Regions from separate parts of the Mus musculus genome. Here all the other regions are reported to be linked to region 1. Evidence: microRNA targets listed by miRTarBase, many of them from high-throughput screens and not tested one by one. Region 1 holds a microRNA gene; each other region holds the end of a gene's coding sequence.

Region 1 (4,225 bases):
TCCAACTCTTCTGGCTCCACCCCGTTCCTAGGTGACCGCGGAGCCCCGGAGGAGTATGATAGATGTCATATTTAGAGTTGGACAACCCACAGTCTTGTACACAGACGACTTGTGGGTCTCCGTTAACCGCCGGCTACCTCAAAAGTCAGCTTCTCTGAGAGATGCACTAATCTGGATCCTTTTTGTTTACGGTGCTGGGGATGAAGCCCAACGTCCGGCACCTGTCAAGCAAGGGCTCCATCGACTGAACAAGTGAACGGCCCCAGCCCAGTCTCTGCATATTAAGGCAGCCAGCAGGGAATAGTGGTCAGTTTTCTGTGTAACTGGAGGCCTGGGGTCCACAGGCATCCACCCAAACACTGGCCTAGGTGTTGGTGTGAAGGACTCCAGCTTCCGGAGTCACTGCCCTGAAGTGAAGAGTACCCTCTACTCTCAGACAGTAGGTGGGCTTCAGCCATCCTGTTGAGGGACTATACTTCCTGCTGAGCCCAGTCTCAGCTCTGCAGGCCTGACCAGTCTCACTGGTTAACGGGGTTTGGTTGAGGGAAGGTCGCTGTTGTTTCACATCTCTTTGTTGGATTACTGGGGGTGGGGTGCATGTCATAGCGTGTGTGTGTGTGTGTGTGTGTGTGTGTGTGTGTGTGTGTGTGTGTTCTGGGATCTAACTCAGGTCCCCTTGCTTGGTAGCAAGTGCCTTTGCCTTTGCCCGCTGTCCTATCTCACTGGCTTAGTTTTATTTGTAAAGATTTGCTTGTTTGAATGTGTATACGTGTTTTGCCTGATGTGTATACACTGTGTGTGTGCCTGGTACCCCCGGAGGCCAGATGAGGGTGTCAGAGTCCCTGTAACTGGAGTTACAGGTGGTTGTGAGTCACCTTGCAGGTGCTCAGAATAGAACCTGGGTCCTCTGCAAGAGCAGACAGTGCTCTTAACCGCTGAGCCATCTCTTCAGCTTCCAGTTTTTACTTCAGTCTCACCATATTGCCCAGACTGGTCTTGAACTCCTAAACTCAAAGGAACCTCCTGACTCAGCCTCCTTGTGGAAGCCGGAAGGCATTCCTGAAGCCCTCCTGGTGGCGCTGTCCCTCCAGCTGAATCCCGACTAGTGCGCCCTTCGTGGGTGCTGGATGGGGAGGCACTGCTGTACCCTGCTGCTTCCCTCCTGTGCTAGCGTGCTGGCTTCCAAGTGCTGGAGGAGTGTGTCATACCTCGGTAGGGTCCACTACACATCTTTCTCCCGCAGCCTCTCCATCTTCCTGTGACTGCGGGCGCCTCAGCCTGGGCTGGCCAGCTGTGAGTAATTCTTTGGCAGTGTCTTAGCTGGTTGTTGTGAGTATTAGCTAAGGAAGCAATCAGCAAGTATACTGCCCTAGAAGTGCTGCACATTGTTGGGCCGAGAAGGAAAAGGTCAGAGGTCAGCAACGCCCACACCCCTGAGAGGCGCTGGACTTGCGGAGCTGCTCGACCATACTGGTGGGTATGGGATGCTGGGGAGGCTGGTGTTAGCACCCCACGGGGAGCATGTTTACGGGGGCTGAGTGTCAGGGGGAGGCACTGGGTCTGGAGTGTGAGCACTTCTGGCTAAGAGAAGTTTGCATGTCGGGGTACTAATTACAGCATGGAAGGAGACTGTATGATGTGTGTTGATCCTCCTAGCCAAACAGCCACCATCTTGGGGCATTCCGCTGTGCCCTCTTGCAAAAGGACTCTTCCTGCTGGGCTTGCTGGCTGTTTACACTTCTTGTGGAGGGCTGGGGACGGTCACAAGACCCTCACCTGAATGTCCAGCTGCCCCCTTCCACCTGCTCCATGCAACTCTGCCTGAAGCGCACGTGGCCTCAGAGAGGGGCTGAGCTCTGTAGTCTGGGTAAGCCCAGGCAGACCGCTGCTGTTGAGTGAAGGCTTTCTGCGTTTGGGCTGTTGGAGATCCAGGGTATACATCAAGGGTCTGCTGTGATCTGCTTCTTACAGACAGACAGACACACGGGTTCAAACAGAAAGGTAGCCGAGGACACAGGACATAGCAGGGGTGGAGTGCAGAAGTCTCCGGCTGGTGCCCCAGGGAATGGGCCCAGGGCTCAGAGCTGCCTTGCTGTTGAACCCACAGTGCCTCCTCTCATGAAGCGGGTTTCAAGTGCATCTCAGAAAACCTGGATGAGTTGATGGCTTACGTCCAGAATTCAAGAGGGCAACTGGTTTAGTAGCCTGACTACATAATGAGTTTGGGGCCATCCTGAGATACAATGTGAAAACCTCAAAAACACAAAAACAACCACCACCACCAGCAACAAAAATTGGTACAAGTTTCCCTTTTCAGTCAAAGCCCGGCCCAGGATGCTGATGGCTTTGAGGGGGTAACCTCTACCATTTGAGGTCGAACCTTAGACTGAAGATAGATACCCCTCTCTTCTTTCTCTTTCTGGGTTTTTTTTTCCAGTTATTTTTTGGGTTTTTTTTTTTTTTTTTTTTTTTTCGAGACAGGGTTTCTCTGTATAGCCCTGGCTGTCCTGGAGCTCACTTTGTATACCAGGCTGGCCTCGAACTCAGAAATCTGCCTGCCTCTGCCTCCCGAGTGCTGGGATTAAAGGCGTGCGCCACCACGCCCGGCTTTTTCCAGTTATTTTATTTCTTCTTATGTGTGCATTGGGGAGGTGCTCCAAGTGCCATGGCTCACGTGTGGAGGTCAGAGGTCAGCTATATGAAGTACGTTTTCTCCTTTCACCTTTATGTGGGTTTCATACCAGGTCTGCAGGCTGGTTAGGCTTGTGTGACAAGCATCTTTACCCACTGAACCATCCCGATGGCTCTCTGGTTTCTAGAGACGGGGTCTCACTGTGTGGCCCGGGGTTAGCCTGCAGCTTGTCATGCAGACCAGGCTGGCCTCACACTTGAAGCAATCCTCCTGTCTCAGCCTTCCAAGTACTGGGGTGGCAGGCTCATGTCACCACACCCGTCCCCCTCCCTTTCTCCTAATGTTGGTGTGTGTGTGTGTGCAGCCACATTCTTCAGCAAGCCCCTTCCCGCAGGAATTGCTCTCTCCCTAAGTAGACTCTGCACCGAGGGCTGCCTTTCCAGAGGGCCCCTTTGTAATGGGGCCTGGTGGGTGGACCATGTCCTGTGCCCACTCAACCACACACTCCGTTAGCTCCACAGCCCTGGGGAGCCAGGCGTGGGCTGAGTCAGGGCAGCTGACATGCCAGGAATGCTGAGCACTGACAGGAGGGTTCACAGTCCTCCAGGAGGATTGCCCGAAGCCGCACACACGAGAGAGCCTGCAAGCGCAGGCTTCACATTTTTTCAGTTTTCCTACAGTAGTCAAGAATGCCTGACCCTCCTCCCCTCAGCAATTGACTGGCCCTGGGCTTGTAAATTAAAGGGGCCATACTCTGGCTTCTCATGTGTATCAGCTTGAGTTTAAAGGGTATATAACTTTTATTTGCCTGCATGTCTGTCTGTCTGTCTGTGTGAGGGTGTTAGAAGCCCTGGAACTGGAGTTATAGACAGGTGTGACTTCAGCTCTTACTGGGTATTGAACCCATGTCCTCTTGAAGAGCACCCAGTGCTCTTAACTGCTGAGCCATCTCTTCAGCCCCAAGTGAAGTCATTTTCAAAAAATTTCTTTTCCAGTCCAGCTTGGCTTTTATTTGTGCCAGTAGAAGAACAAGAAAAAGTGTCCTCCTTAGAGAGAAGTCAGCTGTAAAAATGCCTGGGTTGTTAGTATTTAATTGAAGCCTCTGAGAGCAGGGGCAGGTGGATCTCTCCAAGTACAAGGCCCGCCTGACTGTGTGTAGCGTCAAACCTACCACAACTATATAGTGCTACATACATTGTCTAAAGAAGAAAGAAGAAAATTTAAACGCCTAGGTAATAAGAATTCAGAACTGGCAGCTGGGTGGGGTGGCTCATACCTATAATTCTAACATTTGAAGGGTTAGAGGCAGGAGGATCAGTTCAAAGCTGACGGGGTTGACACAAGCTAGCTCGAAACCAGAAAAGCGGGGCTGGAGAGGTGGCTTAGTGGATACTGCTTTTCCAGAAGACCTGGGTTCACTACTCAGCACCTTAGTGGTAGCTCAGCCGTTTGTAACTCCAGTACCAGGGGGATGTGACGCGCTCTGCTGTCCTCTATGGACATTGCGTGCTTGCGGTACACAAACACACATGCAGAGAAAACACCTAGGCATATAAAGTCGTAAAGTCATCATTACAAAGCTTTTTGTTTGTT
Region 2 (4,225 bases), not on the chromosome of region 1:
CATATAAATGTTATGCCAGTGGTGTTCCTAAGATCTTGTTAAACAGAAAAGAACCTAGTCAGCATTTTAAATTTCATTCATTCCTTCATTCATTCATCCATCTATATATTGATTGATTGATTGTGTATGCATATGTAAGTCACATTGTATGTCATTGTATGTGTAGAGACCTGAGTATAGCTTGTGGGAGTCCTTCCATCATGTGGGTCCCAAGAATCATACTCAGGTTGTCATGACAGCCAGCGTGCTTACCCACTGAGCCATCTCATCAGCCCTTATCAGTCAAGGCTTTTTTTTTTTTTTTTAAACATGAGTGCTGGAAGTTCAAACTCAGGTAGGTCTTCAGGTCTTCATGGTTTTAGAGCACCAAAACATTTCCTCCACCCACTTTAAGGCTCTTTTTAAATGATTCTGTTATCATCATTAATTGTATCTTCAAGTTCTCCTTTCTATTGGTGCCATGGCTCAGAGTGAATGTTATCTCTGTTCCTTTTCTAGTCTGCGAAATTGGTGTCTGTTTTAATAAAGGCTCTTGAAATTACAAAGTAAGTATGAAGACTTCTCCCTGTGTGTTTTGAGACTAAAATCATCTGCCCAGCTATTCTGCCCCATTTCAGATTAGCATGCGGGTATGGGTAGGGGTGTGGAGCAGCCAGTCTGTGAAGGGGAATCCCTCTTACTGTAGTTTCTTCTCTGTGCCTCCTGGGAATGCTTTTCCCTTCACGCCGTGTTAACTTGATTTTTTTTTTTTTCTGTTTTATTCCAGAGCAAGTCACGTGAGCCCCCACCCAGGAGATAGCTGGATTCCTTTACTCATTAATGCCGTTGACCATTGCATGAACAGAATTAAGGCGCTCACTCAGCGTGCAGCTGAACTGTGAGCCTCCAATCCCTACTCTTCTTTCTCCCCTCTCTCTCACACCCACGATCCAGTGTCTGCTTTACCTATTTATTTTTTAAGTTTTTTTAACGTCTGCTTTTAGAAGTGGAGCTTTGACAGGGTGTTTGCTCGATAGAAAGGCAGCCTCTGTCCTTAAGAAGAGATTGTTACCAAGACTCCAGGCTAGGAGAGATTGCAGTTATCCACCAATCATACAGTGTGCTATGCTTCTGTGCTGGACACAAATTTCTATAAACTTGTGCTCTGAGCTGTTTTTTGGAAATCTTTAAGGAAGTTGACTTGTTCTCTAGTTTACTACAGTAAAGCATATTGTTTTATTAAGATTTTAATGATCTCAATAAATTGCTAACCTGCTGTGATTAAATGTGTCATTTAATGTGTCCTCTGAAGTGTCATTTAAAATCTTCTATCATAAGCCAGGCATGTTGGCATATACCTTTAATCAAAGCACTAGGGTGGCAGAGACAGGTAGATTTCTGAGTTCGATGCCAGCCTGGTCTACATAGTATATTCCAGGACAGCCAGAGCTCACAGAAAGACCCTGACTTAAAAAGTGTATTTTAAAACCTAAAATCTCTTTTTAAATTCAGTTTCTAAACTGTGGGCTCCTGTAAAATCAAAAATAAGTTAAATACTTTCTTACTTCAAGATGGAAGAACCAGGGTACAGTCACAATCTGAACAAAGCAAAACCACACTCCATCAGTGCAAGTAAATCCATGTTCTATATCTGGGATTTACTCTAATTTGAGTTCAGGAACTCTAACCCTGCCACAAACTGCCAAGCCTCAGCTGCTCCCATGACACATTCACACCTTCAAAAACAGCACCACTTGAGTAACTTACATCACCAAGTCTGGCTGCCAGCACAAGGCATAACTATGGCTGCCCCTGGAACACAGCTTCTGTGTGTTGACTCTGAGGAAGCTGGTCTCTTCTTAATCGCAGCTAATTCTTCAGCCCCAGCTGACCAGCATCTCTTATCCCAGCAAAGCAAGGGTTTTACTTTAATGGTTCTGTTCTTTTGTTAATCAGATCCAGTTCTTCAGCTCCAGGTGAGCAGACACCACAGACTTCTTCCCAATATGACCCCATGGAGTCTTTACTTCCCTTTGAAAGTTCACAAACTTTCCACTGTCTTCATTGCTTTCAATAATCTTATCTTCCAAGCCCTTACAGAACATCCTACTGAGCCCTCAGCACTCAATGACTTCTAGCCCAAAGTTTCAAAGTCCTTCCATAATCCTCCCCAAATCATCATGGTCTGGTCTGTCACAGCAATAACCCACTCTCCTGGTACTAATTTCTGTCTTAGTGTTTTATTGATGTGCAGAAACACCATGACCATACCAACTCTTATAAGAGAGAGCATTTAATTGGGGCTTGCTTACAGTTTCAGAGGTTTAGTCCATTAGTCATCATGACAAGGAGCATGGCAGCATTCAGGCAGACATAGGCCCGGAGAAGTAGCTGAGAGTTTTACATCTCAATCTACAGGCTGCAGGAAGAGAGACACTGGGCCTGGCTTGGGCTTTTGAAACTTCAAAGCCCACCCACCAGCAACACACTTCCTCCAACAAGCCACACCTCCCAATCCTTCTCAATCAGTTCCACTAACTAGGGACCAAGAGTTTTCATTTATGAGCCTTTAGGGAATTTCTCAGTCAAACCACCACAGCTCATTTGTTAGCTTTGTCCACTTTATTAAGAAGATTTGTTTTCTTTATACAAACCCATCTTGTCATTGTTTAATATAACATGTATTCTCAAATGTGAACACACTTTTATAAAGCAAAAAAATGCATGAATTTATAATTTAGACAAAAAATTTGATACATTGTTTCCAACTACATTGCTATGAAATTATATGTTGTGTGCATCTAGAACAACAGTTCTCAACCATGGATTTCGAAACCCTTTGATGGTCACATATCATATATCCTGAATATCAGATATTTACATTATGATTCATAACAACAGCAAAATTATAATTATGAAGTAGCAACAAAATAATTTTATGGTTGGGGGTCACCAAAATACGAGGAACTGTACTAATGGACCTCAGCATTAGAAGGCTGAGAACCACTGCTCTAGAAGATCATATGTTGGAAAGCAGGGTAAAGCTGCAGTGGGGTGTGGTGTATGACCTGAATAGAGTCCCCCGAAAACACCAGCACTCATGAAGATCTAGCTATAGATAAGTTTAGTCTATTCTTTCAGGTCCTATGTTAATGTGTTATAATAGCTCTATCCACTCATCTTTGGGTCTTTTACAATAGCCACCAGGGAAAGAATTAATCAATGTAATTTTAGTATTATGTGAAAATTCTATTTTTAGTCAATATTGTTCTATGTCATCAGAAATAGATTTAAATATTAGGTTGTCTTTCATTCCTGTAGGTTAATGGATATGTTAACGAGCAATAAAATGGTATGAAACATCTGAACACCCCAAATCTGAATGTACTCTGAAAAGGTAGTCAGAACATCTCATTATACTTTGAGAAGTTATCTGAGTGTCTTTTCAAAGGCTTGTTTTTATCACTTATGCAGTTTAGTCTAAGACAAATAGTGTTTCTGACTGCCTTAGGTTGGCTTGATACAAATGGATTTTGGAGCCAGGCAGTGGTGGCGCACGCCTTTAATCCCAGTACTTGGGAGGCAGAGGCAGGTGGATCTCTGAGTTCAAGGCCAGTGTGATCTACAGAGTGAGTTCCTGGACCAACAGCACTACATAGAGAAACCCTGTCTCAAAAATACCAACCAACCAACCAACCAAATAACCAAAAAACAAGGAAAAAAAATGGATTTTGGTTTCTGTGAATCTAGCTGATTTTTGGCCACTGGTCTGTTGCTTGGTAGGCAGAATTCCCCTCTGGAGCATGTCTAGTTTTAGACGGTTGAGGGTTGTTTGGGAGTTAAACAGAAACTTCAGGGGCCACCACAAGGACACTTCTGTAGCCGGTCAGGTTCTGGAACATGTCACAATCTACTTCCACAGTGAGCCTTTGGAGCCCCAGATGTGTTGGGGTGAACTGGAACTGAGTATGTAGGCTGCTTCCTGGCCACAGAGAACCCAATCTGAAATAAAGGTAGAGATAGGTGTTAATTCTCCTCTGGATCATTGCTCCACTGATCTCTATGGGTTGATTTTCCTGGCTGGAAGATGTGGGACACAAGGATTTAGAAATCTAAGTACATTGCTGGGAAGCCAGAAGTGATCATAAAGGAGGGGAGACAGGAGCTTCTCTATACAGAGCAGCCGTGTGACTCAAGACAGCACTGGGATTTGGTTTGGCCCTGTTCTTGGTAATAGTACTTACCG
Region 3 (4,225 bases), not on the chromosome of region 1:
CATCTCCTAGACTCAAGACTCCCCATGGATTTATGCTATTTAGTTCATTTGTGCTGCTGCAATCGGATTGATTTTGCAGTTTTCTGAAGGTATATTCTGCTAGGTCACAGGGAAGATGACCAAGTTTGGTTGAGAAGTACTTCAAAGTATGCAAAGTATTCAAAGCCACATGATGAAGACATCAGTACCCCAGGGCAGTTGTGAGGCAAGGCTGAAACTCTGAGAGCTAGAAAGAGATGGATTATTTCATCTTAGATTCAGAAATGTTTCTAATGGGGGCAGTCTATGCATCTGAACTTATCTTTTGGATAAGACTTGTAATCATGCATTTAAGTCAGGGAAGGACATCTTAAGTCCGAGGGACCCGTGAGCTGAAGGGGAGGCTGGGGCATTTGCACAGTGTATACCTAACCTCCAGTGGAAGCCAAGATTTGTATGGATTCTAAATCTGCCCTTTGAGAGGGAGGAGGTGCCTGCACCCAACCCTCACGGAGTTGCCTCTCTTCTGGGCTTTTGAGCACTGACTCGTTTCTCGAGTGGATGACAGCTAACACTTGGCTTCTGCTGTCTCTTCAGTGTGAGAAGTGTAACCTGCACTTTCGTCACAAAAGCCAACTGCGACTTCATTTGCGCCAGAAGCACGGCGCCATCACCAACACCAAGGTGCAATACCGCGTGTCGGCCGCTGACCTGCCTCCGGAGCTCCCCAAAGCCTGCTGAATGAAGCATGGAGTGTTCCTCGCCCTTTCCTCTCCAGCCCCTTCTCAGAATCTACCCAAAGGATGCTGTAACACTTTATACAAAGGTCATCCCATGATGTAGTGCCTCTCTCATCCACTAGTGCAAATCATAGTTGGGGTGGGGGTGGGGGTGGGGTTTGCGGGACCGGGAGCCAAGGCAGCTCCCCTTCCCACACTGCCATAAAACATTAAGAAAATACTATTGCTTCTTCTCCTATGTGTAAGGCAAACCCTGTCAGCAAAAAGCAAATTCATTTTCTATATCAAAGTAGGGGAGAATGCAGAAGTTCTGACTTGACAGGTTGCAACCGAGGAATGTAAATGATGTGTGGGAACAGAGGTCTCTTTTGTATGTAAATGTGTATTGTTTTAAAAGACAAGACTTCAGTATGCTGTCAAAGAGAAGGCTTTAATTTTTTTAACCAAAGGTGAAGGAATATATGGCAGAGTTGTAAATATATAAATATATATATATATAATATAAATATATAAACCTAAAAAGATATATTGAAAATATAAAACTGTGTTAAAGGCTCGATTTTGTATCTGCAGGCAGACACGGATCTGAGAATCTTTATTGAGAAAGAGCACTTAAGAGACTATTTTAAGTATTGCGTCTGTATAAGTAAGAAAATATTTTGTCTAAAATGCCTCCGTGTATTTGTATTTTTTTGCAAGTGAAGGTTTACAAATTTACAAAGTGTGTATTAAAAACAAAAAGAACAAAAAAAAAAGCTGCAGAAGGAGAAATGTATACTTTTGTTCCAGTTTTCAGTTTGTACATACCTGTAATGTGTCCTCACGGTGCCTTTTTACACGGAAGTTTTCAATGATGGACGGGTGTGCGCCATCCCTTTTTGAAGTGTAGGCAGACACAGGGACTTGAAGTTGTCACTAACTAAACTCTCTTTGGGAATGTTTGACTCCTCCCACATTCTGCGTCATGCTTGTCGTTATAATTACTCCGGAGACAGGGTTTGGCTGTGTCTAAACTGCATTAGTGCGTTGTAAAATAGAGCTGTACAAAACATAAGAATAAAACATTGAAAAGTCGAGCTGGCTCTTTCTGAGGATCTGTCTTTGCATGGAGAGAGATCAGAGTGGTCTTTGCTTCGGTGGGAAATGTTCTAGGGGCGTGGGAGTGGGGCCCGCTGGCCAGTGAGGTATGAGAGAGGAGCTTGGCCTGAGAGCCAGACTGGGGCTTGTCCAGGTAGCTTCCTGCCTATTTTGATCCTGAACACCAGGATCAGCTACAGAGCCCAGACACTAGGCCTGGAGGTCAAGTAGGGTATCTGACCCAGCTCCAAGCCTCACTCTTAATAACTGCAGTCCTTGTTCTTTAGACACAAACGTCATAGTCTCTCCAACCTCTAACGAGTCATAGCCTCTCCCACCTCTGGGATTATTCTTTTCTAAAGTAAGAAGTCCCATCCTGGCTCTGGCTTTAGAAACATATTTTCTTTACTTGGCTACGCCTGGCAGGTCAAAGGCATCCGGCTGAAGCCACACACATCTCTCGGCATCCACGCATTCAGAGCCTCCTGGGTGACCGACAGACATTCACAGACTTGAAAGCTTTATGATTGGCCAGAGGCCAAGCAAGCCTCTACCCCAGTGTCAGAACTCAGCCACCTCCTCCTGTGTGCGTCAGGTCGCTATTTTTGCTGTGGGTCTCTGTCCCAGCCCATCCAAGAGTAGACTGGATTAACGAGACCATTTATGCATCCGTGATTCAGATGTAAGTTCACGCTGGCCTGCTTTGGCACCCGTGGATATTTTACCTCAGAAAACCCCAAGGACCAAGTATGATTGACAGGATCTGAGAACTGGGGAGACAAGTGTGGTTCTGGTAATGGGCCCAGAAGAGAAAGCCTGCGTCCCCTTCCTGTTCCTGGGTGGCAGTGGGGAGGGAACACGTGCCTACTTACTGGTCAGCTCCTGGCAGTGGTGTTGCTGCCGTCTCTGGGCACGTGTTGAGAAGCTAGGGGAGTTGCCCACCCGAAGTCCCAAGAGAGCTTCAGAAAGTCACGCCACCTTCTGCCAACCGCAAGGCCTTGCAGCTCGGGTTTCCTTTGAAAATGACTTTAAAGGACTTGCCAGCTCGAGGCCTCAACTCACCCTGCTCTTTGAAAAGGGGGAAACCGATCCCTCAGCTCCCATAGAAACCTGGCAGAAGAACTTACGGACTAGACAGCTTCAGGAATGACAATTCACGGGCCTGAGGGAAGCTGGCCTCAGGCTCCTTTTGCTCCCGAGAGTCTGTTTTTGTACCATTCCTATTTATGAGGGAGACGGAGGAGCAGACGGGGAGGGTGGCGTTCCGACAAAAGGGAGATCAAAGACTGAGCTACTGCAGTCAGCCGATGATTAATAATAAGTAAAAGGGAAACATCTCTAAACGGAGTTATTAAGAGTATAGCCCACAGCAAAGGGGAGAGAGAATTTTATTACAAAATCATGGAGTGAATGCATTTTCACACACAGACACACACAGACACAGACACACACACAGACAGACAGACACACACACACACACACACACACACACACACAAAGGTGTCTCAAACACTAGGATGTGTTTAAGACTCTCTGCATCATGGAAGTTTTTGAGGGAAAGGTTTACTAGGACCGCAGGTTGAAGTGTGTATTGAGGAAGGTGTATTAGCTTTGGCTTCCGTTCACTTTCTTTTGCTATAATAAAACACAGACCAAATGCAATTTGGGGAAGAAAGGGTTTATTGGGCTTACATTTCCTAACCACAGTCCACCACAGAAGGAAGTCGGGGCAGGAACTCAAGGCAGGAACCTGGTGCCAGGAACTGAAGCAGAGACCATGGAGGATCGCTGCTTGCTTGTGCACTGTGGCTTGCTCAGCTTCCGATCCAATCCTGGTCCATCTGCTCAGGACCCTCCCACATCAATTGTAAATCAGGAAACTGCCCCCCAGAAACTGTCAACAGGCCAGTCTGTGGCAGCATTCTCTCAGCTGAGGGTCCTACTTCCCAGATGACTCTAGCTAGAGTAGAGGTAGCACAGGTTTTGTTTGTCAGAACTCCCGTCTCAGCAAAGAAGGGTTGAAGTCTTTAAGCTCACAGTTTTGATGTCTTTAAGGTCACAACTTCAGGTGTTCCTGTCCATTGTCCTTGGCTCTGCTAACTCAACTTGTGATGAGACAGAATATCATGACAGACAGGAAGCAAAGAGAGAGAAAGAAGATGACACTGTCTCAAGGGCATGTGCTGAGTGACCTATCTCCTCCATATAGGTCTCACCTTCTAAAGTTTCCAGAACCTTCTAGAATAGTGCTACCACCTGAGGACAAGCATTTTAAAACAATTGCTTTTGGAGGGCTTGGGAGCTTGACTCTATACCTAAGCCACAGCAGCAGGCCTGTAGACCGGGTGAGTCCACACAAGCAGAGCTGTTAAGGAGCTGAAAGTGGCAGAGTGGCAAGAACTCTCTCATTAAGTGACTCTTCTGACCTG

What was found. Region 1 holds the annotated microRNA mmu-miR-34a-5p (UGGCAGUGUCUUAGCUGGUUGU, at 1,307-1,328, shown strand). A microRNA usually pairs through its seed, bases 2 to 8, with sites in the 3' UTR of a target mRNA and lowers its output. Matches are read on the target gene's strand: a 7mer-m8 pairs with bases 2 to 8, a 7mer-A1 pairs with bases 2 to 7 and ends in A, and an 8mer does both.
Region 2: miRTarBase lists Epb42 as a target of mmu-miR-34a-5p. Seed matches in the 3' UTR shown: 7mer-m8 at 3,522-3,528.
Region 3: miRTarBase lists Bcl6 as a target of mmu-miR-34a-5p. Seed matches in the 3' UTR shown: 8mer at 914-921.

The regions. Positions count from the first base shown.
Region 1 is chr4:150,067,167-150,071,391 of GRCm38, forward strand. Mir34a (microRNA 34a) reads left to right here and starts at 1,288; the gene lies at 1,288-1,389.
Region 2 is chr2:121,015,633-121,019,857 of GRCm38, forward strand. Epb42 (erythrocyte membrane protein band 4.2) reads right to left here. Exons shown (of 13, transcript NM_013513.3): 13 at 2,259-3,981. The coding sequence ends at 3,819. It overlaps Ccndbp1 (cyclin D-type binding-protein 1), which reads left to right. Exons shown (of 11, transcript NM_010761.2): 10 at 499-545; 11 at 767-1,280. The coding sequence ends at 881. Among named protein-coding and RNA genes, the nearest start is that of Ccndbp1, 9.3 kb to the left of the region's middle.
Region 3 is chr16:23,962,620-23,966,844 of GRCm38, reverse strand. It overlaps Bcl6 (B cell leukemia/lymphoma 6), which reads left to right. Exons shown (of 10, transcript NM_009744.4): 10 at 577-1,795. The coding sequence ends at 720. Among named protein-coding and RNA genes, the nearest start is that of Gm31527, 24 kb to the left of the region's middle.